2 linked regions of the Stegostoma tigrinum genome follow. The main gene of each other region encodes a partner of the protein of the gene in region 2 in a complex. Links are inferred from orthologs where the notes say so. Each region holds a gene or a part of one and is shown on either strand. Other genes may lie near its edges. The genes, in order: usp25 and tnksa.

The links.
Region 1: the proteins of tnksa (region 2) and usp25 are in contact, whole or in part, in a crystal structure (PDB 5GP7), measured with the Homo sapiens proteins. The link is inferred for Stegostoma tigrinum from reciprocal best matches to the Homo sapiens genes TNKS and USP25. Residues at the interface, in NP_003738.2 of Homo sapiens: Arg836, Ser838, His842, Leu843, Gly846, Tyr847, Leu871, Asn876, Ser879, Tyr880, His882, Asp900, Trp902, Phe904, Glu909, Gln912, Lys913, Gln934, Glu935; in NP_037528.3 of Homo sapiens: Ser1046, Ser1048, Arg1049, Thr1050, Pro1051, Ala1052, Asp1053, Gly1054, Arg1055.

What each region holds. Positions count from the first base shown.
Region 1 is NC_081365.1:8,216,644-8,233,100, reverse strand, and holds the start of usp25 (ubiquitin carboxyl-terminal hydrolase 25), read right to left. Parts: upstream 7,748-16,457; 5' UTR 7,695-7,747; coding exon 7,653-7,694; intron 1-7,652. Other genes in the region: zgc:153372 (arsenite methyltransferase), read right to left, coding at 13,711-13,845. UniProt on the Homo sapiens protein: Deubiquitinating enzyme that hydrolyzes ubiquitin moieties conjugated to substrates and thus, functions in various biological processes including inflammation and immune response.
Region 2 is NC_081356.1:13,986,832-14,004,238, reverse strand, and holds the start of tnksa (poly [ADP-ribose] polymerase tankyrase-1), read right to left. Parts: upstream 7,062-17,407; 5' UTR 7,009-7,061; coding exon 6,669-7,008; intron 1-6,668.

The sequences.
Region 1 (16,457 bases), on a different chromosome or scaffold from region 2:
CAGCAAGTGCCACTGGGCAATAATGAAATTCTTCATGACTGCCCTGTTTAATGAACTATCAATAGGCCGCTGTGTACACATATGATAACCGACTAAGTCAAGAAGGGGATTCTATGTCAATTTTGCCTTTAAAATAATGTTATTGACCTAAACAGTGTGCATTCAGTATGCCCTCCGAAATAAAAGAATTGCTGAGAAAGGTACAGTCATCAGACCTCTTCATCTTGCACTCAACTGGACATTTCACAAGGACACCAATTCAAGGAGAAAGTCAATGCTTACAGTTCATGTGAAGATGGCAAGTAGACTCTAGTAGCCAGAGGTGTTGCCATGGGGAATACACCTATTAAAGCTGATTGACAGTTAACTGCCAGGGTTTTTTTTTATAAATGATAAACCAGACAAGTTGACTCTAATTAGTCAAGGCATTGTCCTGAGAAATTAACTGGTGAACTGTTGTCACCTATGTTGAATTGAATCAGGCAGAGGCTGTACACATTCTTCCTGGCTGCAAAGAAGAAGGGTCTCTGCATCACACTGTAAGCCCACTGACAAACCTACGTTGCTTCTCAGCATAATTCTTCTCTTACACAGGATTATCCAGCAATGCCAGATTTCAAATCATTCAAGCTCTGTACTGCCAAACAACTATTTCCAAATAAATGTTACACACTTAGATGAATATAGCTTAAATGGACCTCAATAATTAATCAACTACAATTGCAAAGTTTCATTATTAAACTAATACAAGAAAAATGAAGATTGGAGGCAGATATTCGGGGGCAAATCAACATATGGTATATGGCAGGCTTTTAAGTGTAAGTTGCTGGGAACTCGGGGCTGGCATGTTCCTTTAAGGATGAGGGATATTGTGTAGCAGGTTTAGGGAGCCTTGGGTGACAAGGGGTATAATCAGAAAGAGAAAGGAATCATTTCTGAAGGCCAGGAGGCTGGGAACACACTAAGCAAGGGTGGAATCCAAGGAACATCAGAATAAACTTAAGCAAGGAGTCAGGAGGGCTAAAAAGGGTCATGAACAGTCATTGGCCAACAGGATTAAGGAAATCCCAAGGCTTTTTTTTAACATAAAGAGTAAGAGGGTAGCCAGGCAGAGGGGTGGTCAACTCAAGGACAAGGAAGGGAACTTATGTGTGGAGCCATAGGAAATGGGCAAGGTATTAAATGAGTACTTTGCATCAGCATTCACTATAGAGAAGGACTCGGTGGATGATGAGTCTGAAGAAGGGTGTGTAGATGGCTTGAGTAATGTTGAGATCAAAAGGGCAGAAGGTATTGCAGGTCTTGAAAAACATTAAGGCAGACAACTCCCCAGGGCCTGTTGGGATATACCCCAGGATACTCAGACAGGCAACAGAGGAAATTGCTGGGGCCTTGAGAGAAATCCTTGTATTCTCACTGGCTACAGGGGAGGTCCCAGAGGACTAGAGAATAGCCAATATTGTTCCTTTGTTTAAGAAGGATGGCAAGGATAATCCAGCTAATTAGAGGCCGGTGAGCCTTACGTCAGTGGCAGGGAAATTATTGGAGAAGATTCTTCACAACAGGTTTTACTCCCACCTGGAAATCAGTGGGCGTATTCAGGAGAGGTAACACAGTTTTGTAAAGGGGAGGTCGTGTCTCACTAACTTGAGTTTTTTAAGGAAGTGACAAAGATTATTGATGAGGATAGGGAAGTGGATATTGTCGACATGGGCTTCATAAGGCCTTTGACAAGGTCCCTCGTGGCAAGCTAATACAGAAGTTAAAGTTGCATGGGGTCAGAGGTGAGCTTGCAAGATGGATTAAAAAAAACTAGCTCGTTCAGAGAAGACAGAGGGTAGAAGTGGAAGGGTGCGTTTCTGAATGGAGGGGTGTGACTATCGGCGTTCCACAGGGATCAGTGTTAGGACATTTGCTGTTTGCAATATATATAAATGATTTGGAGGAGAATGTAGCAGGTCTGATTAGTAAGTTTGCCAATGACACAAAGATTGGTGGAATTGCGAATAGCAATGAGGACCGTCAAAGGATACAGCTAGATGTAGATCAGTTGGTGACTTGGGCAGAGAGATGGCAGGTGGAGTTAAATCCAGAAAAATGTAAGGTAATGCATTTTGGAAGGTCTAATCCAGATGGAAAATATACAGTAAATGTCAGAACCCTTCAGAGTACCCTTAATAGGTGGATCATTGAGTTTAAAAATTGGCAGGTAATGGTGCAGCTTTATAGAACTGCAGTTGGGGCGCATTTGGAATACTGTGTTCAATTCTGGCCGCCACACGCCACACTACCAGAAGGATGTGGGGGCTTTGGAGAGGGCACAGAAAAGATTTACCAGGATGTTGCCTGGTATGGAGGGTATTAGTTACGATGAGAGGTTGGAGAAACTTGGGTTGTTCTCACTGGAACGACGGAGGTTGAAGGGCGCCCTGATCGAGGTCTGCAAGACTATGAAGGATGTGGACAGACTGGATGGTCAGAAGCTTTTTCCCAGGGTGGAAGAATCAGTTACCAGAGGCCATGGGTTTAAGGTGCAAGGGGCAAGGTTTAAAGGTGATGTACAAGGCAAGTTTTTTTTATATACAGAGGGTGATGGGTGCCTGGAATTTGCTGCCGGGAGAGGCAGTAGAAGCAGAAACTATGGTGACTTTTCAAGGGCTTCTTGACAACTGTATAAATGGGATGTAAATAGAGGAATACGATGCCCAGAAGGGTAAGGAGTTTTAGTTGTGATGGGCAGCATGTCAGTGCAGACTTGGAAGGCTACAGGGCCTGTTCCTGTACTGCAATTTTCTTTGTTCTTTGTACACAAATTATACATAATTGGGTTGACTTAGTCATGTCACCACTTAGTGGCAATTGGCAGGAGAATCAACAGATGTTTAGATGTTTCCTCAACTAAGGAGACATGCCAAACTACCTCACCTTCCACCCTCCAAATCCTATTTACTCAACTCTGAAACAGCCAGCATTCCGCAAAGACAATCTGAACTTCTTCGTGAAGTACAACAGCACTGACATTAAAAACTGGGATGAGGCTGCAACCAACTGCTCAAAATAGCAACTTCTCCTTCAAGCTGCATTATGTTTTGAGTTCAAATGCCTCAATGATGAGATAGAAAAAGAAAGAAACAGCAAATCCTGCACTGAGTCCCAATATTTTGCCAACCCTACATGCCTAAACATTTGCAAGTTGCCAATCCGCTTGTTCAGTCATACAAAGGCCCATCACTGAAACTATGCTCGATATTGGACACTGTCCTCAAACTGTACAATAGACACAGACAAGTAACTCAGTCTAGCACGGGTAACTGGTAGCATGTAAGGATTACGATTTCAGAACTCCAATTCCACTAATCTCTATACTGCATTTTGGATGAGATATTAGAATTATTCTCCGTTTACACTCTCAGATGGAGGTAAAAAAGAGAATCCCATGAAAAGATTTTGAAGAAGAGCACAGCAGTTGTCTATGTTGCCTTGGTCAATACTCATCCCACAAGCAACATCACAAACTGAGTACCTGGTTAGCATTACGTTGCGGCTTCTGGCAGCTTGTTGTGCACAGGCTGGCTGCTGTATTCCCTACATGGCAACAGTGACAACATTTCTAAAGTTTGTCAGTGACTGTAAAGTGCTTTGTGGCATCCAGTAGTCAACGGAAATGCAAAAATGACAGTCAACTCTTTCACAGTGCGCCCACCCCGCCTCTGGAATAAACCGATTTTTAAACATTGTCAATGTGATGTTACTTATTGTATAACATGCTGCAACTCTATTTCAATCCCTGGTGGTGTTCAAGCTCAGTGTCTTGTTCATTGATCAAATTTCAAACTCCAAGAAAAGGTTACTGACAGCCAACTCATGCAGCAATTCTGACCTAAACCCCTACCCAATATCTACCATCACTGTCGTTCCTTTAACTCTAAACCAATTTATTGAAAGACTTGTCAATAATTTTCTGAGCTTTTTCCAAAATAAATTACAACTTTGCTAGAACTGTTATCACATATGTCCTTATCTGACAATGAGGCCAGCTCAGGCTTTGATGATCTCTAGTCTCCCACATCTCATAAAAGCAGGTACAGGTCGAACAATGCCTCAAGCTTGCTATGCCAATCATCTCATAAAAGCAGGTACAGGTCAAACAACGCCTCAAGCTTGCTATGCCAATCAATTAGATCAATGGTGATCTGTGCCTTCACCCCATTTAGCTGCCTTTGACCCCCATTCTCTGATTGTCTCACCTGACAAAGTAAAAATCAATTCATCTCAACTGTGAAAGGGGCAGTTGATCACCAGTCTTAAGCAAGCTTTTGAAGGAGTATTCCAGATCTCTATAATGCTGTGTAAATAATCAGTTTTTGATTTCACACCAACAGCACCAAATTCAATATCCCTGGGTTTAAATCACAGCCTGCCCTCATTCCACACTACATCTGTAAACTCCTTTATCTCAGTCAATGCTATACAGTCTTTCACCTCTGGCTCTCTTCATATATGCACAATTTACACCAAACAGCACTGAAGAAAGGTCTCGACCTGAAATGTCAGCTTTCCCGCTCCTCTGACGCTGCTTGGCGTGCTGTGTTCATCCAACGCTAGACCTTGTTATCTCAGATTCTCCAGTATCAGCAGTTCCTACTGTCTCTTAAGTCATCTCAATTCTACTTTTGGAATAACATCCCTAGGCTACTCTCTATTGCTCAGTCCTTCACCAGCTTTGAAAGCTGGATTTTGGATGACACTCCACTCTACTGATCGATCTTGTCACAAAATGGCTTCAACTACTTCAATATTTTACTCTGCAGGTCTGTTGGGTTTTAAAATATTGACATTAGCAAGAAAAATTTTGGTTGAACGAACAGCAAAAGCAGCACAAAACGGGCCAATAAAATTGTACGGAAGACAATACAAAAGTTTCAATAAACTAAGATCTCTGAAAGCTCTGTATAGAAACAAGCTATTAATCCTAAAATAAAAATTCATGAATCCTATCACTATGCAAGCAGATGGGCTCTCTAAACATGAATTGAAAGGAAATGAGAAAATAAACATTTGCAATACCTTGTCTGATAAGAAATCATAAGCAACAGACAAGAGCATCTTAAAATATGCATCTGTCGACCTTTAAATCTAGGCCAACATCATAACTTAAAGAGAAAATATGTCAACAGTATATCATAGTACAATATATGTAAGATATACAAAAGCATACACAATATTTACATTATAATCATTCATCAAAACTCAATAGGTAAATAACTCAATAATGTATTAAGCATCAAAAAAACAACTTCAAAACTTCAGTTTATATCGCATCTTTCCTGATCTTCGATTATCTCAAAGCACTTTACAGACAAACAGGAACTTTTGCAACATAATCACTACTGTAATCTGGGAAAAGTGGCAGTCATTTTGTGCAAAGCAATGCCCCAAAACCACAATCTGATCACGAACATAGTATTATAATTTCAGTGATCAATATCTTGGCTATGCCAGAGGTTAAGTTCCCCATTCTTCTTTCATATAGTGAGGTCAGCTTATTCTACTTCCACCTGAAAAGAGTGATGTGGCAATGCCGCTGTTGGACTGGAATGGACAAAGTCTGTGTAGATTTGTGCGTATGTGAGTGTGTTGCGGGGAATTCAGTGTGTGTGTGTGTGTGTGTGTGTGTGTGTGTGTGTAAGTGAAGGGTGGGGGGGGGGGGGGAGACTGAGAAAATGAGCGTGTGAGAAACAACAGATGAATGAACACCACCCAACAATCACCAGACAAGAATGTTCCCTCCAAGTGGGGGAAGACTTCGACACGCAAGGACGCTTGACCTCGGATCTTCAAGTGGACTTTGGGATACACAACAATGAAGAGACACTGAGCAGAGGCTAATAGCCATGTCTGGTACCCAAGAGGATGGCCTCAACCAGAATCTTGGGTTCACATCTCACTACAAGTGACGCCCCCCCCCCCCCCCCCCCCGCCACAATACACACTCTTGTATACATATACATGCACACAACTCTCTCTCTCAAACTAAGATAACAAAGTGTGGAGCTGGGTGAACACAGCAGGCCAAGCAGATCTTAGGAGCAAAAAAGCTGATGTTTCAGGCCTAGACCCTTCATCACAAAAGGGTCTTTTCTGATGAAGGGTCTAGGCCCGAAACGTCAGCTTTTGTGCTCCTAAGATGCTGCTTGGCCTGCTGTGTTCATCCAGCTCCACACTTTGTTATCTCGGATTCTCCAGCATCTGCAGTTCCCATTATCTCTGATCACTCTCTCAAACTGTCTTTCTCTCACTCAAATCAATCGGGTCAATACGTATTGACAGCTACATTTTAGTTTGTTCAAAAAACACACAACTTATCAACAATTTTTTTTAATATAAATGTCTACTTTGGAAATAAAACCAGTCTGATTCCAAACTAAAACACAAACAGATTCTAAGCAAAGTCACACACCTAACTTGCATTGTCTAACCTAAAATGTCAACTCTTCCTTACTCTGGTAAAACCTTCAGTTCTCTCAGGACTGTGGCTTGAAAGGAATTCGTGGATTTACATATCCATATTAATTAAAACCTTAAAACTGATTAAAGATTTAGCAGCATCTTAAATTTGTTTAGGATATTCTCATCAATGGTGTGGAATGTTGATCTTTTACATATAAATTGTCTGATACTACCTCTCATTAACAACTAAATGACTGAGGCTCAGAAAGCTTGTGTTTTCAAATAAACCTGTTGAACTATAACCTGGTGTCGTATGATTTATGACCTGAAAACAGCAGAAGGTATGGCTCTTCGACATATCATTTTGAGAGAAAGTACCTCAGACAGTGCACCGCATACACACAACATGGTTCAGAACAAAAAGAGTGAAAATGCATCACGCAGTTCAGAAAATTTCATTCCACTGCCAGAACGAAATTGTTACAACTTGCAAACACAACGTGATTAATATGCCAAGGTGCTCCACAGGAGCACTGTTAGACAAGATTTGACACTGAGGAAGGGGGCAACCAAAAAGCTTACGGTTTTAAGGAGTGCCTTAAAAGAAGAGTGCGGAAAGGATCAGGTGGGAAAAATGCAGCTTAGAGGCTGAGGACACAGACAAATAAATGGCTGATTTTGTTAGTGAGGCTTTACAATTGTCCTCTACTATGGGCTGTGCCTCAAAGGAGGGAAAATTCAGGTGAAACCCTAACACTACGTCCAAAGTGAACTGAACTTGCCGCCCTCACCGCCAGGCAAAAATAAACAAGTTACAAATTTCATTCTCAGCCTGATTTAAAACTCAAAACCTTGCTGGCCTAGGCGCAATATCTCGGAAGAGCCTCTCGACCTGGGGCTGGTGCCAGCTCCATTAACACCCTGGGCGTTACAGTAGCATTATTATTGTTGCTGTTGCTAGGCTAGGCCAGAAGCCTGCGGCTCGCGTGCCAGCGCAGCGGGGGCAACAAGCTCCTCAGGCGGTGACCGAACGGCAGCGGTCTGGGGAACGGGGGGTGGTGAATGCAGGCGCGGGCGGGCGGACCCTCCCGAGTAAAGGAACATTCAGGGGCATCGTAGGTCCATGTGGACAAGAAGGCCGCGGACAGGCGGGAGGGGAAAAGGCAAGGTGGGAAGGAACCTCTCCTTTCCTGTTTGTTTACCTTCTGTGAATGCTGCTGCAGGACATTTTGTTCCACCGTCATGGCCGATCCACAAACAGAGAGAAGCTGCAGAGGGGGAGGGGCACAGGGTGGAGACTGGGCGGGGCTGCGATACTGGGCGGGGCAGGATGAGGGGTGGGACTAGAATAGGGGGCGGAGCTGGATGTGGAGCGTGTCTGGGTGAGGGGTGGGACTAGAATAGGGGGCGGAGCTGGATGTGGAGCGTGTCAGGGAGAGGGGTGGGACTAGAATAGGGGGCGGAGCTGGATGTGGAGCGTGTCAGGGTGAGGGGAGGGACTAGAATAGGGGGCGGAGCTGGATGTGGAGCGTGTCAGGGAGAGGGGTGGGACTAGAATAGGGGGCGGAGCTGGATGGGGATCGGTTCAGGGCGAGGGGTGGGAATGGCATACGGGTGGAGCTGGGCTAGTAGGGGAGCGGAACAGGTGGGGCTGGTAGAGGACAGGGAGCCTTGCTGGGAGATGGGCGGGGTTGAAGGTAGGGTGGGGCTAGGAATGGGGTGGCTAGTATGGCGAGGGGATGGGCCGTGGAAAGGAGGCAAGAGCAGATAAAGGGTCTGGAAACAGGGGTGAATGTGTGGGGTCTGATTGGTGTAGGGGTGGGGCTGGATGCTGCAGGAATGGGGCTGAATGGCGAAGAGGTGGGGCTGAGTGGTTTATGGTTGGGCTGTGGTGTAGGGGTGGGGCTGAGTGGTGAAGGAATGTTGCTGAGTAGGGTAGGGGTGAGGCTGAACTTGGGAAGTGGTTGTGGCATGGAGCGAAGGAGATGGGGCAAGATGAGTGGGCTTGGCAGGTAGATGGGTAGGTCTGAAGAGTGTAGGGGAGGGACTGGATTTGGAGAGGGGTTTGGAGAAAGGGCAGGGACATGCTGGGTAGGCATGGGGCTTGACAGGGAGAGAGGGTGTGGCTTGGTGAGGACTATGGGATGTGTGGTGGAGGGGTAGGTCTGGATGTGTGGCCAGGGTGCGGATAAGTGGGTGGGAATGGGGAGGGATGGATGCGGATGTGGGAAGGTGTTGTGCAGGGAATAAGAATGTGGTCGGGGTCAATTTGGGTGGGTGGTGTGAGGGGAGGGGCTGTTTGTGGAGTGGGGATGTAGGTAGGGGAGAGATGGGGGCAATGAAAAGGTGTGGTATGTGCAAGGTCTGAAGGGGCGGAGCAACGGTTGTGGAGGTTGTGGGGCGGGTGGATAAGATGGTGGGTCTGAGTGGGGGAGGGATTGCTACTGGGGTACAGTGACAGGGCTACGTCAAGAAAAGGGGCTGAAGGAGAAGAAGATGGAACGGCTGAGGGCAGAATGAGGGTGAGGGGCTGGTGTTGAGAGGGGAATGTTAGAAGGTTGGGTTTGGAGTTAGGGGAGGCATTGGATGTGGAGACAGGGTGTTGGGGCTGAAGTTGAAGGCAGGCGTTGGGATTGGAAGAGGAAACAGGGAGAGAGGGTTGGAGGTGTACATGTGGAGAGGCAGAGAGTGTAGACAGTGTGAGAGGGTGGAGTAGAGATGGTAGGGGCAAGGTGGGGGCCAAGATGGGGGGTGCTGAGGGTAGAGAGCATGGGTGAGGTGGGTTGGAGAGTGGAGGAGGGGTAGTGGAAGAGAGAGGTGGGAAAGGCTGGGGGAGGAGAGATGGTGGGAGAGGCTGGTGGTGGAGAAAGTGGGTGAGGTTGAGAGAGGGGATGGGGAGGTGGAAGTGCGAGGTGTTTAAAGGCTATTAGGAGAGTGGCTGTGTTTTTAGGGAATGCTGAGGGGCACAACCCGGGGAGGCGTAGCTTCTGGGGAAGAAATGGGTTGGGTAATGGGGATTAGCTGGGGAGAATGGGAGGGTCATTTGAGTGAGGGAGGAGCTGGGGTTGGGTATTATTTGGGGATGGGAATAACGAGAGTTCCCCTTCAAGCCACTCATCATCCTGGTATGGAAATGAATCACTAGGTCAAAATCCTAGAACTCCCTCCTTAATAACACTGTGGATCTACACTTACTTTAAATAATGCTTTACTGTATAGATTAGTTCCTGACTCTCATTTACATTTTATAAGTACATGACAACAACTGAAGGAGGTCCAGTGTAACCTCACCCCAACGAGAACAAAACAAAGATAATGGGAACTGCAGATGCTGGAGAATCCGGGATAACAAAGTGTGGAGCTGGATGAACACAGCAGGCCAAGCAGCATCTTCAGAGCAGGAAAGCTGATGTTTCGGGCCTAGACCCTTCATCAGAAAGGTCTAGGCCCGAAACGTCAGCTTTCCTGCTCCTCTGATGCTGCTTGGCCTGCTGTGTTCATCCAGCTCCACACCTTGTTATCAAGAACGAAACAAACATTGTTATGACCACACCTTTGCCTTTTCCCAGTCCATCACTGACTCCTCCCATCCCTTTCTTGATAGCTCTGTTTCTATTTCTAGGAATAAGCTGGCCACCAATATCCATTAAAAATCTACTGACTCCCAAGGTTAATTTGACCAAATATCATCACACCCTACTTCCTGTGAGTACTCTATTCCATTCTCCCAGTTTCTGCATCTTCATTGCATTTGTTCTGATTATGTTACCATTTGCAAGTGACCCTCAGAAATGTTCACTTTTTTCCACCACCAAGAATATCCTGGCACAATGGTTGACAGGGCCGTTGGCCATGTCTGTTCCATTTCTGCATTAGGTAACCCCTCAGTCCCCTCCTGCAACAACAATCCTCATTTTCCACTCCACCAGCCTCTGTATCCAAAGAATCCATCATTTACTCCACTTCCAACAGAATGGCACCAGCAGACACACATTCCCCTTCCATGTCAGCATTCTACGGGGACTGTTTTCTCCGGCACACCCAGGTCCACACCCTCATGGTGCCTTCTCAGGCCTTTGCAGAAGGTGTAACACCTGCCTATGTATTCCCTCTTCACTAACCAAGGACCCAGACACACCTTCCAGGTGAAGCAGCTATTTACCTGTACTTCGTCCAATCTAATGTACTGTATTCGCTGTTCACTATGTGAACATTGGTGAGACAAAAAGTAGCCTGGGGTGACTGCTTTGTCAAACACCTATGCTCAGCTGATAAAATTGACTCCAGCTTCCAGCTTTCTGTCACTTCATCATATCACCATGTTCCCATGGCAATTTTCTGTCTTAGGCCTGCTGCAGTGCTCCTGCAAAGCTCAAGACAAGCTGGAAGAACAACACATCTTTCGCCTCGGTACCTGGTAGCTTTCAGGACTGAACATTGAGTTTAACAATTCAGAATGTGGTCATCACACTCCATGTTGGCTACCCTCCCCTTTTACCCCCGCGTTATCTGCATTTCTGTCTACATAGCCAACACATTTTCAACTGTCCATACGTTACATTATCACTCTACTTAGCATTTATCTCCCTCCTGGCTTATCATTGGATATTTCTATGCTCAACTCTTTGTTTGCCTGTCCCTTTCTCTCACTCTCTCCCTTTCTGTCTCTGTCTGTATCTATCTCTCTCTCTCTCTATCTTTGCCTCTCCCACTCCATGTCTGTGGTCTGTCTCTGTGTAGTGTAGTCACTTCTCTGCACTCCATCATTAGCAGAAATTTACTGTGTTTCTCCAGGACTCTGTTTTTGTTTTAGATTTCCAGCATCCGCAGTTTTATGCATTTATATTATTATTTATGACCAGGGAAGGATGAGTGTATGGCTGCAAAATAAATTTTAAATTCTTTTTAGCACACATTTATTTCAATTAAAATGTAATACTAGTCAAAAGTAAGGAGTCAATCAACGGGTTTCCTTCGGTGAAAGAAAGGAGGATTTTATTAATTACTGACCCTTAAAAAAATAAAAATGAGACATCAAGCACACATGCAAACACAGATATAACATTTCAAAAGAGACAGTATCTAGTAAGAAGAAGGGAATTCAAGTGTATACAGTTTGAAACGTCTATAAGGAGTTAGGTTTAATGTGCGACCCCGGTTATTAAGTTGATGATTCTTATTTCAGCAGCAGTGAAATTTCTGAATATCTTTCTGTTCTTGGTGAATATATATTTCTCCAATTTGCTTCTAACACTGGGCATTGTATTTTAAGGGACACTGAGTGAAACAGGGAGAAAGGCAAGCAAGCCTTCCAGTTCTGCTATTATACACTTGAGTTTAGAAGGATGAGAGGGGATCTGATTGAGGCGTACAAGATTATTAAGGGATTGGACACTCTGGAGGCAGGAAGCATGTTTCCACCGATGGGTGAGTCCAGAACCAGAGGACACAGTTTAAAAATAAGAGATAGGCCATTCAGAACAGAGTTAAGGAGAAACTTCTTCACCCAGAGAGTGGTGGATATATGGAATGCTCTGCCCCAGAAGGCAGTGGAGGCCAACTCTCTGGATAGTTTCAAGAAAGAGATGGCTAGAGCTCTTAAAGATAGTGGAATCAAGGGTTATGGGGTAAGGCAGGAACAGGATACTGATTGTGGATGATCAGCCATGATCATAATGAATGGTGGTGCTGGCTCGAAGGGCCGAATGGCCTACTCCAGCACCTATTGTCATTGTCTATTATGAATCCATTTACCCTCTCTCAATCAATGCTCAAAGGTATTTGTCTTAAGTATTATTCCTTTATGTATTCCTGTGTCTGCTTTCATTGGTGTTTGCAAGCTGAATACTCCATAATTGATGTTCATCCTAACGTTGAAACTTACAGAATGGGATAAATCAAACAGGAGATACAGATCTGAGCGACTAATCTTATTAATTTCAGTTCAGAATGGGTCTTGTTGATTGGTGATTTCATGATGTGGCTCATCTAGAGGTCTTACAATTACTGTGGCCATCATGTTAGTTTTTTTTATCAATTTAAAAGATATATTTTAAATTGTCTCAACAAAACATCCAAGATATTAAAACTCAGACGATAAAAATCATAAGTTGGTAGACCACTTTTTCCGCTATCAGAACAATGTGGGATCAAATAAAGTCAACTGCCTTCACTACTCTTGTGACTAACAAATGCAGGTCACAAAGGAACAAGGTGTAGAGCTGGATGAACACAGCAGATCAAGCAGCATCAGAGGAGCAGGAAAGCTGACATTTCGGGTCTGGACCCTTCTTCAGAAATGGGGGAGGGGAAGGGAATTCTGAAATAAATAGGGAGAGAGAGGGAGGTGGATAGAAAATGGATAGAGGAGAAGATAGGTGAAAAGGAGACAGACAGGTCAAAGATGCGGGGGTGGAGCCAGTAAAGGTGTGTGTAGGTGGGGAGGTAGGGTGAGGATAGGTCAGTCCAGGGAGGAAAGACAGGTCAAGGAGGCGGGGTTAGAGCCAGTGAAGGTGTATGTAGGTGGGGAGTTAGGGAGAGGATAGGTTAGTCCAGGGAGGAATGAGGTCAAGGAGGCAGGATGAGGTTAGTGGGTAGGAGATCGGGGTGGGGCTTGAGGTGGGAGGAATGGGGAGGGTATCAATGTGGAAACCCTGCAGCCCAATGTTATCAATCTGATTTCACAAGCGTCAAAATCTCCCCTCCGCACCACATCCCAAAACCAGACAAGCTCGTCCCCACCTCCCTAACGTGTCCTCCCACTTATCCACTCCTCCCACTCAAGCTCCACCCCATTAACTACTAGCCTCATTCTGCCTCCTTGACCTGTCTGTCTTCCCTGGACTGACCTATCCCCTCCCTAACTCCCCACCTATATTCACGTTTACTGGCTCCACCCTCGCCTCTTTGACCTCTTCTCCACCTATCTTCTCCTTTATCCATCTTCTAACCGCCTGCCCCCCCTCCCTATTTATTTCAGAATCCTCTTTCCCGCCCCCATTTCTGATGAAGGGTCCAGACCCGAAACATCAGCTTTCCTGCTCCTCTGATGCTGCTCGGCCTGCTGTGTTCATCCAGCTCTACACCTTGTTATCTCAGATTCTCCAGCATCGGCAGTTCCTACTATCTCAGGTCACAAAGTTGAAGTCTTAAAACAGGAAGCAATGAAATAATGGCAACTTTGTTTTCTTCTGTTTTTTTTTATTCAAGCTTGCTGAATCTGCAACAGTGAGATGTCTTCAGTTAATATTGCATATATAGTTAGCTTTTTGCTTCTCCACATTTCCATGTCACTTCAGTTTGATCTTCACAAGGACCATCTTTTTGAGTCTTGGAGCATTGCTGAATGGATGATCCCAATTTATTAGCCAACTGGAAGGGATTCAGGTGGCAATACTAGAGAGACAGAGAAGGAGGGAATGAGTTTGTTAGAGACTGTGTAAAAAGAAAAACGCTGGTAATAATGAATTCTGCTCTGAGAAAGACATCAATTGCTCGTGGATAAAAGACCCTTATACGTTTGTCATCAATCAGCCAGATTGAGAACTTCCAGGTCAATGTTTTAACTGCAACTTTGAGATTCTTCTTCTCTGTTCGAACAATATGTCTCACTTCCAGTCCCTGGATGTAAATCCTCAAATTTTCTCATCAGGGTTTCCATACCCTCACTGCATGATGCTGCGGATGATTCACTTACAGGGACAATACTGTGTTATATACAAATAAGTCTTAACAACTGGAGGAAGTCATTTAATTGAGGAAGCTAAAATAGTGAAGGGTTTCATAAGCTCATGTGAGCCAATGATCTAATTAGAACTAACTCTTTGAAATGAATACATTCTTATAACCTCCACAGAGACACAATATTTAAAAAGAAATTCAAACTTTCAGAAAGAATGAAATTTCAATATTTGACATAGAACATAGAACATTACAGCACAGTACAAGCCCTTCGGCCCTCGATGTTGTGCCGACCTGTCATACCAATCTCAAGCCCATCTAACCTACACTATTCCATGTACGTCCATATGCTTGTCCAATGACGACTTAAATGTACTTAAAGTTGGCGAATCTACTACCGTTGCGGGCAAAGCGTTCCATTCCCTTACTACTCTCTTAGTCAAGAAACTACCTCTGACATCTGTCCTATATCTTTCATCCCTCAATTTAAAGCTATGCCCCCTCGTGCTCGCCGTCACCATCCTAGGAAAAAGGCTCTCCCTATCCACCCTATCTAACCCTCTGATTATTTTATATGTTTCAATTAAGTCACCTCTCAACCTTCTTCTCTCTAATGAAAACAGCCTCAAGTCCCTCAGCCTTTCCTCATAAGACCTTCCCTCCATACCAGGCAACATCCTAGTAAATCTATCTCCTCTGCACCCTTTCCAAAGCTTCCACATCCTTCTTATAATGCGGTGACCAGAACTGTACACAATACTCCAAGTGCGGCCGCACCAGAGTTCTGTACAGCTTCACCATAACGTCTTGGTTCCGGAACTCGATCCCTCTATTAATAAAAGCTAAAACACTGTATGCCTTCTTAACAGCCCTGTCAACCTGGATGGCAACTTTCAAGGATCAAGGATTGCAGTACATCTTTTAAAATTTGCTGGCTAAGCAGCATTTATTGCCCATCCCTAATTTCCTAGAGGACAGTTAAGTGTCAACCACATTGCTGTGGGTCTGGAGTCATATGTAGGCCAGACCAGGTAAGATCATGGCTGATTTGCTTGTCTTCCAAATTCCACATTCTCATCTAACCCCAATAACTTTGACTCGCTTGCCTAGCAAGAATCTATCCATCACTGGTTTCAAAATATTTAATGGCTCCATCCTCATCACCTGTGAGCCAGAGGGTTCCACAGTCATAATTCCTCCAACAGAAAAAAAAATCCCTCATCTCTTAATTTTCAAATAATGCCAACTAATTCTGGGCTCACTCAAAACAGAAGGTATCCTTTCCATGTCTACCTTGTAAAGATTGATTAGGATCTTGTAAGGTTCAATCAAATCACCCTTCACTCTTCTGAACTTCAACTCTTCTAAACCAGGAAACAAGCCCAGCCTGCCCACTCTTTCCATCATAAGAGGTCATTACAGGCATCATAGTGTCATAAAGTCATACAGCACATCAAACCAGTCAATGCTGACCATAATCCCAAAGTAAACTACTCCCACCTGCCTGTAATTGGCCCATATCCCTCTAAACCTTTCCTATTCATCGACTTATTCAAATGTCTTTCAAACAATGAAATTGGCATCCACCACCTCCTCTGGAAGTTTATTCCGCACATGAACCACTCTCTGTGTAAGAACATTGCCCCTCATATCTTTTTTAAATCTAACTCCTCTCAACTTACAGATATGCCGCCTAGTCTTGAAATCAATTATTTGAGGCATTAGATGCCTCCCATTTACCTCAGCCATACCCCTAATGTTTTATTTTTTACAAACCTATATATGGTCTCCCCTCAAACTCCTACACTCCAGTGAAAAAAAATCCAGCCTATCCAGCCTCCTGTTAAAACTCGAACCTTCCAGGTAACATCCTGGTAAATCTTTTCTGAACTCTCTCCAATTTAATAATATCCATCCTTTTGCAGGGTAACCAAGAACTGGACACAGTACTCCAGAAGGGGCCTCACTTTCATACTGTACAACCTCAACATGACTTCCCAACTGCTAAACTCAAAGGTCTGAGCAATGAAGGCAAGCACGCTAAATGCTTTCTTAACCACCCTGTCCAAATGTGATGCAAACTTCAAAGAATTATGTATCTGACCTCTTATGTCTTTCTGTTTAACAGCACTATCTCAAGCCTTACTGTTAATTGTGTAAGTCCTGCCCTTGTTTGTTTTCCCAAAATGCAATACTTCATATTTATCCAAATTAACCTCCATCTGCTACTCCTCAGGGCAATGATCCAATCGATCAAGATCCCTTTGTAGTCTTCCTCACTGTTCACTATACCACCAATTTTGATCTCATCCGCAAACCTACTAACA
Region 2 (17,407 bases):
TTAAAGTGCCAAAGCTGCATGTCTTAAAAGCTAACTGGCTGACAAATAGAAAATGAACACAATACTGCACTTTGTATCACAGGATGAAAACAAACTTGAAGCAGCTGCAAAACAAATGGAATTTTTTTTTGATAGCTGCAGGGGCTAGGTAAAATACTACTGCTCTCAAAGCATTTACAAACCAAAGCAGACTAATCAACCCAACAGCTCAATACCAGTGTTCAGGAGCAATAAAAACTTCCTCATACTCTACTTCATCTCATCCTGTCAGCATATCCTTCCGTACAATTCTCCCCCCATATACGTATTAAAATTCCCCTTAAAATATTTATACTAATCATCTCAACCACACTCAGTATCAAGTTCTGCATTCGAAGTATTCCCCTACAAAAAGTTCTCCTGCATCTGTTTTGGATCTGTTGATGACCAACTCACATTAAATCACCTTTAGTTGCGGGCAACCCAACAGTCAAAACGCCTTCTCTTCTTCCCCCTATTACTTCATTATTTTAAGATGTCTCTCTGGTCTCCTCCCAAACTTCTCTTATCTAGGGATATTAAAAAAGGAGCTCAACCATTCAGTTTTCCCCGACAGTTCCAATCTCTGGAGTTTTAGTAGCATTTTTGGAAATCTTTTGTCCTTTATGCCTTTTAGCAATAGGAACAACATAATTGAGAATACTACTCAAACATTTTATATGGGCTCCACATACAGAGAAAACCATATGCCAATTTCAAATACTGATCCAAAATTTGTACTGTTAAGTTTATAGCATGTTACAATTAGTTACCCTGACCCAAATTTCCAAATACTTTAAAATCTTTTTTAAAAAAATTATTCTTGGGCATAGGTGTTGTTGCAACACCAGCACTTATTGCCTGGCACTAACTGCCTGGAAAGGAGATGGTGACCCACCTCAGCAGCTTACTAGATTATTTAAGAAGATAATGAAATGTCAACATGCTGCTGTGGGTCTGGAGTCAAGTTTAGGCCAGACTGAGAAAGGACAACAGGAATTCTTCTCTGAAAAATATTGATGAAGCAGATGGGTTTCTACAACACAATCTGGTAATTTCATGGACACAATTACTGACGGCTATTCACTCCAGATTCACTTGATAAATTTGAGGTTTGTAGCTAGCGAAATTTGATCTGTCTCCAGATCATTAATCCTGACCGCTAGACTCCCAGTTATGTTACTGAACTATCATTAATGCAGAACCTCTTCAAAACTCTAATTCTACTTCAATCTATTTATCTATTCAAACATAAAATTAACGTTACCTATTTTTGCTACAATCAGACAGTAATGTGGAAGTATCACCATTCAAGCAGTTGACAACAGAATACTGCAAATCTAATGCATCGTGACATCAACTTTTGTGATTTAAATCTCATGTAGTGTAAAACCTAATGTCATTTGATCCATCAAGTTTCCCATCAAATAAAGGTAAAATACTGTGGAAAATGGAAATCTAAAACAAACAGGGAATGCCGGAGTAACACAGCTGGTTGAACAGCATCTGTGGAGAGAGTGGAAAAAAAAAGTTAACATTTCAACTCTGACTTGAAATGTTCACTTTTCTCTCCACAGATGTTGTCAGGCCTGTTGAGTTTCTGTAGCATTCTCTGTTTTTGTTTCAAATTTCCCATCAGCTGGGTACTGTTTTGATTACCCCCAATAACAATCCTTTGGAGAAGGCAGGGGGACACCCAATTGCAACTACCATAGATGCAAATGATAAAATTAAACTTGGCAATATAACTTAAAAATGGGATGAATTTTGGCAATAGCTTTGTCTGGTGAATGCTAGACAGTTTACCATCTTGACCCCACTGCTCTGTCTCAGCTATGGACAGCAGGCATTGGCATTTGAAAACTAGGGTATACAGTGAGGTACAGGGCCCATGGCAAAAGAAAACAAGTCTGAAACTAGATCTCTGCTAAAAAGATAAATTTTCTTTCTATCAAATGTTTCATTGGCCAATTCTGCCCCATTCCAATGGAACAACATGCAAAAACATCTGAACCGAACACTCAGTTCAGGATAAATTAAAAACTAGCTTTACTAATTCACAAACTTCATCCTTAAAATGGAGGATCATGATGATCATCATTCAATCAATATCTCTTAGTGCCTCAAACAGCTTATTAACAATTGTGAAAGAGGAATTTCCTAATTTTACAGATTACATTCCAAATAATCTATTCTAGTACTAAATTTTCAGCAATATTTGCCAATCATACATGAGCTGAATTCAAAACAGAAACTTTTGACCAAATAGTCAATTGCTAAGAAGTAATTTGAAGGAGAAACTTTGATAGAGCAAAGAAATGGGACTAATTAGATATTCTTTCAAAGGGCTGGGATCCCTCTGTGCTACATCCTTCTATATTCTATGAACAGGCAGTTTGAAAAGTCTAAAGCAAACCATTGAACATTCTAGCATCATGTTTTTCTTGATGGAAAAAAAGAAACTAAGTCCATACAATGTCTCCAAAGTGTGAATGGCTCTTTTCACAGTAAAATGAGGTCACGAGTATTTGTCTATATGTGATGTGTTTGAGAACAGCTGTCAACAACATATTCTCCTCCTGGCTGAGGAAACATTCAGTCCCCAATCACCTCTTGCCTCACTATTTCCATTAAAAAAGTAAATACAAGTCCCTGAAGCCCCATGACAGCCTCTATTTTTCATTTAAATATCATTAGCCTTTAAAATACCATTTTGGAACTGCTGAAAATTGAGTCGTAAATTCTCCCAGCAACATGAAGGCCTTGCTGACTTTGAAATATACAGGATATCAGCACAATCTCATTTCCTATCCCGTAGCAAACCATGTAATTCACATCAGTCACAGGTCTTAACTGCTTCAATTGCATGGGGACAGAAGCCTTTTCAACACCTTGTACCTCTCCTTTCATTCTACAGCATAATGGTTGATCTACGTCTTAAGAAATCGTCAGTTGTTTACAAACATGTCCAAAGCTGTCCAAATTATTTTCACTCCAGTTGACCTAGTATTAATGTATTCCTTGCTAAATAAATATTTTATACAGCAGAATAAAAATGTGTTTTAAAAAACCTGAAGGCACTGAAAAATGAACACTCACCTCAAAGGTACAACTGTTTTATAGACTACATAAATGCTTCAGCCAGAGGCAATGATGCTGTATAATTGAGTTCACTTAGCCAAAAGTATCTATTTAATCAGTAAAGTAGTCGTCATACTTGGACTTAAGTTTCCTACCGAATGCAAGAATATTTCAAGTCAAAGATCCACTAATTCTAAACACACTTAAGAAGCCAAATTTCCTTCTCTGTGGCAAAAATGGAGGAAAATAAAACTCCAAATCAAGTGAAATCTTCAAGCTTACCTCAAAGTAACAAAATCCAAACAAAAAAGTTTACTTAAATTCACTTCTCATAAATATTTCAGCTAGCTGATGCCAAGAGAATAACGTCCCATTCAACCAAATGTTAATCTGATTCAATTTAAAATGATAAGGTATCAATACAATTAAATATAAATGATGGCTCTGGTCTCCATATTATTAGAAATATTCACTGACAGCTTGCTGGGTTAAAATGTTGCAATATCTCACCAGAACACTGATAAAAAGGAAGATCTGCAATAAACAGAAAGATAAAGTACAACAACTGAAGTTACTGTTAATTCCTGATGAGGCAAATTTAAGTTAAAAATGGGAATTGGCTTGGACTTATTTACAATAATTAACATCACAGAATCAAGTCACAGTATCAACTTTATTCATTTCTGATTTGGTATTTTAGAAAGGTCACCTTTGCAAGGCATATTTTAAGTTGCGAAGATTCACTGCATTCAAAAACTCTATCAGAATCAACAAAACTAAAGGGACTCAGAGGAGTCAGAGATAATGGGAACTGCAGATGCTGGAGAGTCCTAGATAACGAAGTGTGCAGCTGGATGAACACAGCAGGCCAAGCAGCATCTGAGGAGCACAAAAGCTGACGTTTCGAAAGGGTCTAGGCCCGAAACGTCAGCTTTTGTGCTCCTCAGATGCTGCTTGGCCTGCTGTGTTCATCCAGCTCCACACTTTGTGCTCAGAGGAGTACTTTGACTATTTTAGTTATAACCCACACTGCTGTATCGGCTTTTCAGAGAGGGACCTTACATTTATCACTTATAACGTTAGTCAAGAACAAAAAGTACTACATTACAAGAACATACAATCAATATGGTGTCTTCTACATTGTGAATAAATACTATTACGACACAGAGACAGAAAGCTAAATCAAACCAGCTTTTCCACATCTGTATTCACAACATAGTGAAATTAAAACCTTCAAAAACTCTCAAAGTAGACCCCAACGATTCCTGGCCAGACTTTTTGAATAACCAATCCTAAACTGTGAATAATCAATTCTTGACACCGGGTTTACAAACTTAAACAAAAGATAACAATTTATTAACACAGCAAGTAATCTCATTCATGTTGATGATTGAAACCCAAAAACCTTTGTTGCAGCCTCCTTTCATACAAAGAGATACACAGACAGAGTTAAGGCATGAATAAAAATAACAAAACTGGCCAGATTACTTATGGGGTTTTCACAATGTCTGTTCTGCAGGCATAAACAAAGGTTTCTCGGTTGACATTCCTAAGACATCAATGTCATCTTTTCAGTTCATGCTAAAGGAAGGCATTACTTATTTACATTTTCTGAACTTCCAAGAATTGATAAGAGGAGGTTAGGCAAGGAGCTTTCCAACTTTCATGCTGTAACATCAACAAACTCCTCCTCTCATAAACCAGTCCAAAAACCAGTTCAAACTCTGGCCCTCCCTCTGTTTGCCAATCATGTTCCCTTGCAGACTTGCTGGTAAGAATTCCCAGGTATTGACATTGTCAATGGCCAAACATCTGCTGTCTGGTTAGACAGACAGCTTTCCCCAGTGTCAAATAGTCTATAGAATCCTTTTGATCAAGAATCAACCTGTAATTAACTTTCATACTTGACGTCACAAACAAACAATGGCTTATTTTTGTTTCTAACAGCTTCAGTTCACAGTTCTCAGCAATAAACCAAAATTAATAAAAGAATAACACAAAAATAAATTTTAAAAATCAGTGAGTTCTAACAATACTTCTGGATTCCTTTCACTCCCCAAACCGGGGGGAAAAAAAAAGCAAAACCACAAAATACTTATCCAGTCTATGCATCCTCTTAAACCAGGACACGCGATCTATGTATTCGCCAGTCACACCAAGGAAATTCTTAGCAACCATTTGGTCCATTGTAGGTGGGCAGCATGGTACCACTGTAGTTCGCACTGCTGCCTCATGGCATCAGGGACCAAGGTACAACTGAGTGACTGTGTGGAGTTTGCACGTTCTCCCTGTATCTGTGTATGTTTCCAAAGGGGAATTCAGTTTCCTCCACACAACCCAAAGATGCACAGGTTAGGTGGATTGGCCATACTAAATTGCCCCGCAGTGTTCAGGCTATGTGGATTACCCATGGTAAACATAGGATAGAATGGGTCAGTGCAGACCTGACAGCTGAATTGCCTCTACTTGCACTGTACAGATGCTATGATTCATTGTGTATCACAAAGCCCTTTTATTAATTTGGACATGGGACGTGGGCATCACTGGCTGGACCAGCATTCATCACTGCAGAGCCATCAATTAGGAATCACATACAGCTCGACCAGGTAAGGATGATAGATTCCTTCCCTAAAGGACACGAAAAAACAAGGTGGCTTTTTACAAGTCAACAATGGTTATATGGTTGTCATTAGGCCAGCTTCAATTAATTCCAGATTTTTTACTGAATTAAAATTCACCTGCCGTGGTTGGATTTGATCCTATGTCCTCACTATTAGTCTCTTCTGGTTCACTAATCCAGTGACATTACCACTACACTGCTGCCTCTCCTTAATGTTATGGCCTCCAAACCTTTTACCAATTAGATATGCACTTTTAAGCTAATGGGGAGCAGTTCAGAAGACAGGAAAAGACCTATTTTATCGAGACTAAACCTTCCTTTCTTGGGAATATCCTCTCCAAGCTCCTCAGATCCGAGCCATCCCGACGGTGGAGGAGGTTAGTGGGCGAGTTGGTTGGCCTTGTCACTACCACCATTTTCAAATGCTCCAAAATTGACAAGGTACTTTTACTTGAGAACAGACTTGTGTGCAACAAAATTTCGACACAGCCGCCGCTGCTGTTACAAATGACCCAATAATGAAACTAATGTTTACATCGTCAACGCGAAATGAAGATTTATCCTCCCCGTACCATTCCCGTTAACACGTTCTCCAGCTCCCGATCTCTGTGAAGTCCATTTAAATAATATGAATTACTGCCACACGATAATTGACAAAGATCGTATGGGGCTATCACTCTTTTAATGCAGTATCCGCAGTTTGAAGAGGGCCCATGTTCGGACTCTGATTTTAAGCCATCCTTGTTCCTACCCTTGTTCAAACCCATGGCAACATCTTCATCCCTCACCCCGCCCCGATCCCAAAGTTGTTGCGTTGTTTTGACGGCGACGAGTCCAGGCCTCTTGAGGTTCTTGATCTCAGCCCCGGACTCCCATCCGCACACTAGGAGATCATTGACCGCCCCACCTCCTATAGGCCCCGCTCTAAAAGCCTGATCGACGTACAAACCTGCGGCGAAGTGCAGCGGCGTGGATTTCCTGCCGGCCATGTCCTTGGCGTTCACATTGCCCGAATCCACCAGTCGCTTCACCCGCAAAACATCGCCGTTCCTGCAGGCCTCGAACAGTTCTCGGCCCGAGTCATTCACCGCCCCCCCTCCACCTCCTGTTGTTGTAGTTGTTGGTGGTGGTGGCGGCGGCGGCACCGCTGCCCCGGAAGGCGGGGAGGTGGCGTTGCCGCCGGTGAATCCTGGCGAATCAGGCCTGTCGGAGGCCGGTGTCGGGGTTGGGGTGGAGCTCGGGCCGGGGTCCGAGGCGCTGGGAGAGAGCTGGCTCCGCCGCGCCGCCATCTTCGACCGTCACTGCAGCAACGCCGGCTTACGTCACTGAGGCACTGAGCGCGCACGCCGACACCAAGCGGCGGCGCCCGTCGGGAGGTGGGGGTGGAGTGGAGTGAAGCGCACGCGCATCGTGCACGTACCCAGCACCGGCCCTACGGACGGGCATGTTTCGGGGATGGGGGGGGGATCGGGGGGTGGTGGTGAGGCTGACGCGGGGTGACACCTCCTCACGCCAATGGACAGCTTTTCGCTACCTGATTGGTCATTCTTCAGGGCCTTTTGATTGGCCCGAACTCTGATTGGCCGATTTGGGAACTCCTTGCATGCGCTCACCTGTGCTCGTGGGCGGGTCAAAAGCTGGAGCCTGTCATAGTGACGCGTTGCTGAAGAGTTGTCGGGTTGAGAAGCTGGCCTAGAAACAGCCTCTGAGTCGAAAATAGAAATTGGTGGATAAACCTGAATTTCAGTTGTATCAGTGGCAGGAGTCTGGGAGAAAGCACAAGGGCATCCTGGGAAGGTAAGCTTCCACCCAATGAATCTGGGAGTTAACTAATACCCAAGATACTACACGTGTAACCTAACCTAATAATAATGATTAAGTGTGGTGAGCAGGTAAGCTATTTGCATTTTTTTTTCCTCATCTCTTTGTTATCTTTTGGGTTGGTCACCTAGACACCAAATCCTCTGGGAGCAGGTTGGAAGGCAAAGCCGGAGTCTGTTTGAGTATATAACGGAGAAAACTGGTGCAGAGAACACTGCAAAATTACAAAAAATCTAATTAATTTTAAATAATTAACTAAGTAGAGGTGGCAGGCCAGGTGATGTGTTGTAGCTGTATGATGTGGGAGCTAGCTGATCTGATTGAGAACGGCAGTGACCACATCTGCAGTAAGTGTTGGCTGCTTGAGGAGATCTGGCTCAAAATTGATGAGCTGAAATCCAAATTCCAAACGCCGTGACACATCCGGAAGGGGGAGAAATACCTGCATGCTGTGTTCCAGGAGGCAGTCACACCTGGTAGATTAACTAATGTTAATTTGATCAGCGGGCAGGGACAGCAGTGTGTGACTGAGTGAGGCAGGTAGAGGGACTGTGCAGACAGGAACACAGGAGCCTTGACATTGTCCCACAGGTGTGAGGCACTTGCCCCCTGTGTGGATGAGGAACAGGGCTGCAGGAACTGACCATGGCCCAGGAGGCCATTCAAGAGGGAGGAGCAAAAAGACAGTTTGTAGTTGTGGGGGATTCCATCATCAGGGGGATGGACAGTATCCTTTGTGAGCAGGATAGACAATCCCACATGGTGTGTTGCTTGCCCGGTGCCAGGGTGCGAAGAATTCCTGACTGGCTTGAGAGGATACTAGAGAGGGAGGGGGAGGATCCAGTTGTTGTGGTCCATGTAGAGACCAACGACATAGGCAGGAATGGGGAAAAGATTTGTTTCGGGATTATGAAAAGCTAGGAACAAAAGTTTAAAAAAACAGGTCTTCAAGGGTCATAATCTCTGGATTGCTACCCGAGCCACGTGCAAATTGCCTTAGGGAGGCGAGGATCGGGGAAGTAAACATGTGACTAAAAGAGTGGTGTGAGAAAGAAGGTTTCTTTTTCATGGAGCACTAGCATCAGTTCTGGGGCGGGAGGGATCTATACCACTGGGATGGACTCCACTTGAACAGGGCCGGGTCCAGAGTTCCAGCGAAAATAGTAAATAGGGTGGTTAATAGGACTTTGGACTAGTAAGTAGTGGGGACGGGAGAAGTGAGCATAGAGGGAGAATAAGAATTAATGTAAGGCAAAGCAACAGGTTAGCAGGTGACAAAGAAGCTTCAACTCCATTGAAAATTAGGAAAAAAATTAAAGGGAAGGAGAACTCGAGAGCTGTTAGTAATGAAGGTGATAGGACCCAAAAAGAAGGTGCAAAAACTTACATAAGGAAATTTTATTTGAATGCTCGGAGCATTCGAAATAAGTTGGATGAGTTGACAGCACAAATCATGGCAAATGGGTATGATTTAGTGGCCATTATAGAGATATGGATACAGGATGGTCATAACTGGGAGTTAAATATCCAGGGGTATCAAACTGTTCAGAAGGACTGACAGGAAGGTAAGGGAGGTGGTGTTGCTCTGATTTGTTAAGGATGATATTAGGGCGGTAGTTAGAGATGATTATAGGTTCTACTGAACAAAACGTTTGGGTGGAAAGTAGGAATAGTAGGGAGAAGAAGTCATTGATAGGTGTGGTCTATAGGTCACCAAATAATGACATTGTGGTGGGGCGGACCATAAACATAGAAATAGCTAATGCATGTAAAAATGGTACAGCAATTATCATTGGGGATTTTAATCTACATATCGATTGATCAAACCAGGTCGTTCATGGCACCCTTGAGGAGGTGTTTGTAGAATGCATCCGCGATAATTTCCTTGAACAATATGTAATGGAACCTACGAGGGAGGAAGCTATCCTAGATCTAATCCTGTGTAATGAGACAGGAATAATTAATGATCTGACAGTTCGGGACCCCCTCGGAAGGAGCGATCACAGTATGGTTGAATTGAAAATACAGATGGAACATGAGAACGTTAAATCCAGTACCTATGTCCTGTGCTTAAACAAAGGAAACTATGAAGGAATGAGGGAGGAGTTAGCTAAGGTAGAATGGGAGCAAAAACTTTATGGTGGATCAATTGAGGAACATTGGAGGACTTGCAGTGTTCAGCAGAAGTATATTCTAGTGATAAAGAAGAACTGCAGGAAAAGAGAGAGCCAGCCATGGATGTCTAAGGAAACAAAGCATCAGATTGAAAAAAAAACACATACGACAAAGCAAAGAGTAGTGGGAAATTAGTAGACTGGAAAATCTTTAAAGGCCAACAGAAAGCCACAAAAAAAAGTTATAAAGAAAAGTAATATAGATTACGAGAATACAATAGCTCAGAATATGAAACCAGGCTGCAAAAGTTTCTTAAATATGTAAATTGTAAAAGACTGGTGAAGGTAAACATTGGTCCTTTGGAGGATGAGAAGGCCAATTTCATAACGGGGTATGAGGAAATAGCTGAGACATTAAACAGTTATTTCATGTCGGTCTTCATAGTGGAAGATACAAATAACATTCCGAAAACTAATGGCAAGATGGTTATAGCAGGTGAGGACCTAGAAATTATCATTATCACTAAGGAGGCAGTGCTGGGCAAGCTAATGGAACTAAAGGTAGACAAGTCTCCTGGCCCTGATGAAATGCATCCCAGGGTACTAAAAGAGATGATGGGGGAAATAGCAAATGCACTAGTAATTAGTTACAAAATTCACTGGACTCAGGGGTAGTTCCCGCAGATTGGAAAATAGCCAATGTGACACCACTGTTTAAAAAAGAAAGCAGACAAAAACAGATAACTATAGGCCAGTTAGCTTAACTTCAGTAGTGGGGAAATTGCTTGAATCTATCATTAAGGAAGAAATAGCAAGACATCTGAATATAAATTGTCCCATTGGGAACACCCAGCATGAGTTCATGAAGGGTAGGTCATGTTTAATTGATTTGGTGGAATTCTTTGAGGACATTAATTGCAATGGGGAACCTGTGGATGTGGTGTATTTGGATTTCCAGAAGGCATTTCACAAGGTGCCACACCAAAGGCTGCAAAATAAGATAAAGTTGCACATTATTACAGGTAATAGCATGGATAATAAAGCATGGATAGAGGATTGGTTGACCAGTAGAAAACAGAGTAGGGGTAAATGGGTGTTTTTCTGGTTGGCGGCCAGTGGCTAGTTGTGTGCCTCTGGGATCAGTGTTGGGACCGCAATTGTTTACAATTTACATAGATGATTTGGAGTTTAGACTAGGTGTGGTGTGTCAAAATTTGCAGATGACACTAAGGAGAGTGGTAGATCAAAGTGTGCAGAAAACGCTGAAAGTCTGCAGAGGGATTTAGATAGTCTAAATGATTGGGCAAAGGTCTGGCAGATGGAGTACAATGTTGTTAAGTGTGAGGTCATCCATTTTGGTAGGAATAACAGCAAAATATATTATGTTTTAAATGGTAAAAAATTATAGCACGCTGCTGTACAAAGGGACTTGGGTGTCCTTGTGCATGAATCGCTAAAAGTAGGATTGCAGGTGCAGCAGGTAATTAAAAAGGCAAATGGAATTTTGTCTGCCATTGCTAGAGGGATGGAGTTTAAAAACAGGGAGGCTATGCTGCAGCTGTATAGGGTCCTGGTGAGGCCACACCTGGAGTACTGTGTGCAGTTTTGGTCTCCTTACTTAAGAAGAGATATAGTAGCACTGGAGGGGGTGCAGAGGAGATTCACTCAGTTGATTCCAGAGTTGAGAGGGTAGGATTATGAGGAGAGACTGAGTAGACTGGGATTATATTCATTGGAATTCAGAAGAATGAGGGGAGATCTTATAGAGACATATAAGATTTTGAAGGGAATAGATAAGGTGGAGGCAGGGAGGTTGTTACCACTAGCAGGTGAAACTAGCACTAGAGGGCATCACCTCAAAATAAAGGGAAGCAGATATAGGCCTGAGGGCAGGAGGAACTTCTTCACCCAAAGAGTTGTGAATCTGTGGAATTCCCTGCCCAGTGAAGCGGTTGAAGCTACCTCGTTGAATGTCTTTAAGGTAAGGCTAGATAAATTTTTGAACAGTAAAGGAATTAAGGGTTATTATGGTGAGTGGGTGAGTAAGTGGAGCTGAGTCTCAAAAAGATCAGCCATGGTCTCATTAAATGGCGGGGTAAGCTCAAGGGGCCATGTGGCCTACTCCTGCTCCTAATTCTTATGTAAGCTCAGCAGGCCTGGCAGCATCTGTGGAGAGAAATCAGCATCTGCAGTTTTTGTCAGTTCTAACAGCCTCTGAGTATTTAACTTGCAATTTGACACAGGCTTGAGATCAGGGAAAGTAAAACTCAGACCTCCAGAAAGTCTGCAAGGGAAGTAAACTGGTCTCTATCTGAGAGTCAAAATAAAAAGTCCACACTGCAAGACCCTGGTAGCAACTTACAACTCAAGTAAAATCGTACATCCATTGACCTCCTGCCAAAATGAGGATCTTCTATCATTCTGGAGTTGATCGTAACATGATACAATTGCCAAAAAACAAACTATAAAGGCATCTCATTCCCACCCGTGGAACTGACTGTTGAACCACAGAACACTTTTTTTGTCAATACTTTCCACCAATCATATTTCTGCAGAGCCATGTGTCCCATTTGTGAATTATTGTATGCAGGTTTGGGTTTAAAGGAGACATTGCTTAAGATTGCTTAGTAGCAGCTTTTAACGTGTGTTGCTAACTGTTAAGGAATAAATTTGGCTTTTAATTTTCTTTTGTTTGTTGATAAATCCGGTGGGAGTTTCTGACCTAGATATCAATCAAAGTCAGACAGATTAATCAGCTTGGTGATTCAGAGAGTTCTAGAGCCTTATTGCATTGACAGAGGTTGTTTGGCTCTTCGTGTTTGTGTCTGCCATCAAGCAACTATCTATTTTGCAGCATCGTGCCTGTCGCCTTGTACATTATGGTGTTTCAAGTGTTAATCTTGAATTTACAGCTAGTGCATCCCATATTCTTAACTGCTCACTGTGTGGAAAAGTTATCTCTCACATCACAAAAGCTTCAGTTACACAACACTCTCTAAATCTTTGCCTTCTTGTTCTGTTTCTTTTACAACTAACTTAAAATCTCATCTACAGCTATAATGTTTTAGCAAAGATCTGCAGCTTGGTCTAGGCCTGAACCATCAGCTTTCCCGCTCCCCTGATGCAGCTTGGCCTGCTGTGTTCATCCAGCTTTACACCTTGTGATCTCAGCTTGGGTTGTGGTTGGTGTTGTTGGTTTGTTCGCTGAGCTATCTGGTTTTCCCTGTGACATCTTCAGCACTGTATAGCTTCAGTTGAAGCTGTGTTACTCTGACCCACCCTGAATGTATATGGTCCGGTTTGGTTTGACTAGTCACCAGGGGAATAGAGAACAACAATCAACTCTAGACATAATGTTGGAATGAATAAACAATGGTGAATTCCTCACCAGTGTATATAGAAAAAGACAACATACACAGAACAAATCCTGAATTACAACAGTAACAGTGACCACAAACAGAGCTGTGTCAAGACTCTGTTTAAACGAGCGATTAACACACTGCAATACCCTGGAGCTGTGCAAAAACAAAGAGGAACATCTGTACAAAATCTTTACAAATAATGAGTATCCTAACAGCTTTATCCACCGATGCCTAGCAAGTAAACAACACCAACACACTGGTCACCCTACCTTATATTAGAAATATATCAGAACTGACTATGAGATTCCTACGCCCTGTTGGAATAATGATAGCACACAAACCAGCAGCCACACTTTGCCAGTTACACTCAAAGACGAAAGACCCTATACCCACAATGAGCAGGAGAAATGTGATATGCAAAATACCATGCAGCAACTGCGAGAAGCACCACATAGGCCAGATGGGCAGGAAACTTGCCACCAGGATACACGAACACCAACTCACAGCAAAACAGCATGGCCAACTCTCCTTCATTCTATTACATTCTAGTTTAACTGGACAAAGTAACAATGGACAAGCAAAACAAAGACGAATTCCTGGAGGCCTGGTTTTCAACCACCAGTGTGATAAACAAATATATTGAAATAGACCCCATCTACGTACCACTGCAGTGCAAAACCTTTATTTTGTCCATCAGTTTTCTTGCATGCCTCCTCTTTGTTCTGTACCTTATTCTTGAGATAACTTCCTGCGATTTCTACACTCTTTTAGGGCTTCTGCTATTTTGAGTCCCCAGTATCAGCCCTAACCTTACCTATTTTCCTAATCCATATATATTAGTCGACATCAGGGTTCTCTAGCCTTCTTGGTCCTACCCTTCACCCTTAGTAAAGTGCAGGTTATTTTCATATGTCCATTTCAAATGACTCACACTGCTCTTATGTACATTTCCTACAAGCATCTCCTCCCACTCTGTTTTGGCCATTGCTGTCTTATTAAAATTGGCCTTTCCCAATTCAGAACCTTTATTTTTGGTCCACGTTTATCATGTACCATAAATACCGTAAGTTTTACTGAGTTATGGTCAGGTCATCAAAATGCATCCCAATTGATACTTCTACCTCTTGCCAGCTTTGTTCCATAAAATTTGGTTCGACACCACCTGTGGGACTTACCACATCTTGACCCAAGATGTTCTCCTGGATACATTCTAAGAGTTCCACCTCTCTAAGCCTTTCACATTTCTATCCCAGTTAAGAGTAAAAAAGTTGAAATCCCCTACTATTATTACCTTAATAATTTTCACTTGAGATGTGTCCACAAATCTGCCTTTTTATCTCTTTCTAACTGTTTATTTGGGAACCTATACTACACTCCTAACTGGAGGACTTCCACTTTTTGTTTTTAACTTCTATCATGTGGCTTCAATTTGGGATTCTTCAAAGATATCGTCCCTCCATATTGCCAGAATTAACTCCTTGATCATTGCTGCAACACTACCTCTTTTACAACTCCCTGCTCCACCACTTGACTGGCCTGAAGTTTCCGTACCCTGGGTAGTAATTATATCCCCATTTAGTAAGCAGCATCCTCAACTCATCTGCCTTACACCTTGCATTCAGTTAAATGTTATCTAACCTTACCGTGCTCTTTGTGCCTTAACTAGATTATGAAGACTCCGTCTTCCAGACTGATTTGGTCTTCTCTATGTGTGGATCACTCTGTATTGTACCTCTATTCTGTATTCTATTGCCCTGGCAAACTAGTTTCAATCCCCACCAACAGCACCAGCATACCCCCCACTCCATCCTTGTAGGGATGTTGGTCTGGTGCAATCTGTCACCCTTGTCCAGGTGTCACCTTCTCTATGACATCAAATCAGAATGGATGTGAGTGAAGGACTGTCAGTCCTTTAAATGTCCTCAACATGAATTAGATAGCAGGCAAAAGAAGGGACTTAAAGTCAAAGTTGAAACAATTACAGTGGAAGTAAATTGGAGGCTAAATGGTGAACCAATGACCAGTTGTCTATGTTTGGACAAGGGTGAAACAAGTAAAAACCAGAAACGGAGGGTAAAGTAACGGAGGGGTGGCATGGTGGCTCAGTGGCTAGCACGGCTGCCTCACAACGCCAAAGATCCGGGTTCGATTCCAACCTTGGGGGACTGCCTTTGTGGAGTTAGGGACGTTTAGATTAGGTGAGTTAGACATGGGTAATTCAGGGATAGGGCAATGGGTCTGGGTGGGATGCTGTTTGGCGGGGTGATGTACACTTCTTGGGCTGAATGGCCTGTTTCCACACTGTAGGGATTCCATGGAAATGTTTTAAAGTAAGTGACTTTGTAAACCACTCCTGAATGAAGATCCAGGAGGTGTACAAAATCAGTTGGAAGGCAGAAATATGATCAAGTTGGAAATGATCATTAAATTCACAGAAGCAACCAGGGCTTGTACCTTAATACAGCTGAATGACCAGGAACAAACTATAGCTGAAGCCAAGAAACTAGTGCAACCGGTCTCCAGTCACAGGCACAGCAGGAACTGAAGTCTTTTGCTCACAGCAGCTTGGGGGAAGGGCTGAAAATTTGAGAACATTACTTCAAATTAAAACAGTAGATCAGAGAAAGAATCTCACTCTTAAGATTTAATTAATATTGTCTTGTGGAAATCCAGAAAACTGGTGGCCTAAAGAAGGATTCTGATTGATTAGGAGTAGTACTATGGAAATCAAACCTGAATGGTTGAAGTCTTAGACTACAGTTTCAGTGGTGATAGGATAAAGGTAAAATTAGAAAACAAATTGATTTGATGTTTTTAATTACAGTCATGTGTAATTTGTTACAAAATACAGTGAAAAGTGTTGTCATGTTGCCACTTTCTGGTGCCACCTTTAAAGTACAGAAAAATATACCAAAACATAGAATATAAAGACAGAAAAGTTTTTTAAGAAAAAGGAAGGGTGTTCAACTTTACAATCCTTGTTCAGTGCTCCATCATGGGCCTGATGGCCAGTCATGAGTCCCCTTCGCTGTACCGCTGGGATGAAAGTTGCAGTTCTTCGATGCCATCTCACCTCCATGAAACCCTTGCTGAACATTGCCAGCGCACACAAGTTATGGGAGAGGAAGCTGAGTTCATGGCCAGGTAGAATACCACAGCTGTTTAATCAACTTGAGGTAGCAGTAGTGAACATTGCCATCAATCAATACCATGCCAAAGGAGAGGAGGTGTATACAATGGCGTCAGCTTTACAAAAATTATTCCCAATGAGTGAAATGTGATTGGACTCTCCATTTCAATACTTTTCTGGCTGGAAGCTAAAGAAACATATCTGTTTTAGAAAAGAGATAGCAGGTACTGCAGATGCTGGAGAATCTGAGATAACAAGGTGTAGAGCTGGATGAACACAGCAGGCCAAGAAGCATCAGAGGAGCAGGCACACTGATGTTTCAGGCCTAGACAGGTCTAGAAGGTTCTAGGCCTGAAACATCAGCCTTCCTGCTCCTCTGATGCTGTTTGGCTTGCTGTGTTCATCCAGCTCTACACCTTGTTATCTCTGTTTTAAAGAAGTAATCTTTGAAATAACTGCTGGGTGTTTTTATAAAAAGATTGCCTAACATTAAAGAGCAAGGCATTTCGTAAAAAAGTATGAGAAAAAAAAAACTTGAGGCAGCAGAAAATTAGGAAAAATTGCCAAAATGTTGGACCTTGAAGTTTTTTTTTAAAAAAGAGAGGAAAATAAAGTGGACAAGTTTCAGAAGCAAGTTGCACTTAGTTTTGTACATCATATTTCTGAAAGAATATATTAGCTGTGCAGAGATAATAAGCACCACCGATCCTGGAGTCTGAAATAACACAGTGTGGAGCTGGAGGAACATAGCTGGCCAGGCAGCATCAGAGGAGCAGGAAAGTTGATGTTTCAGATTGGGATCCCTCTTCAGAAATCTGAAACTGATTTCTGAAGAAGGATCCCGATCTGAAACATCAACTTTCCTGGTCCTCTGATGCTGCCTGGCCTGCTGTGTTCCTCCAGCTCCATACTTATTATTAGCTGTGAAGACTCTACAAACTGGTCAAGCCACCATGGGCCCAAAACTGGACATTTTAAATCAACCAACAGTCAGAGAAATTGAGCCTAACAGAAAAGCAGTCAAACCAAATTAAACAGCAGTCAACAGCTATCAGCTGCAGAGAATGGTGAAAAATAAATCTAGGGAGATCACAAAGGTGCTGTAGGATCCAGTTATAACCAGCTTGAAGGGTGTGTGTTGGGAAAGTTTCAGTCAGACGTCAAGTGTCTTGACTTCCAGGTACTGCCTGAGGAAGTGCACTTCACACCTTCCCCTCGTGTCAACAGTGAAGGGTGTTGATGCAACCCCATTGGATGCTTT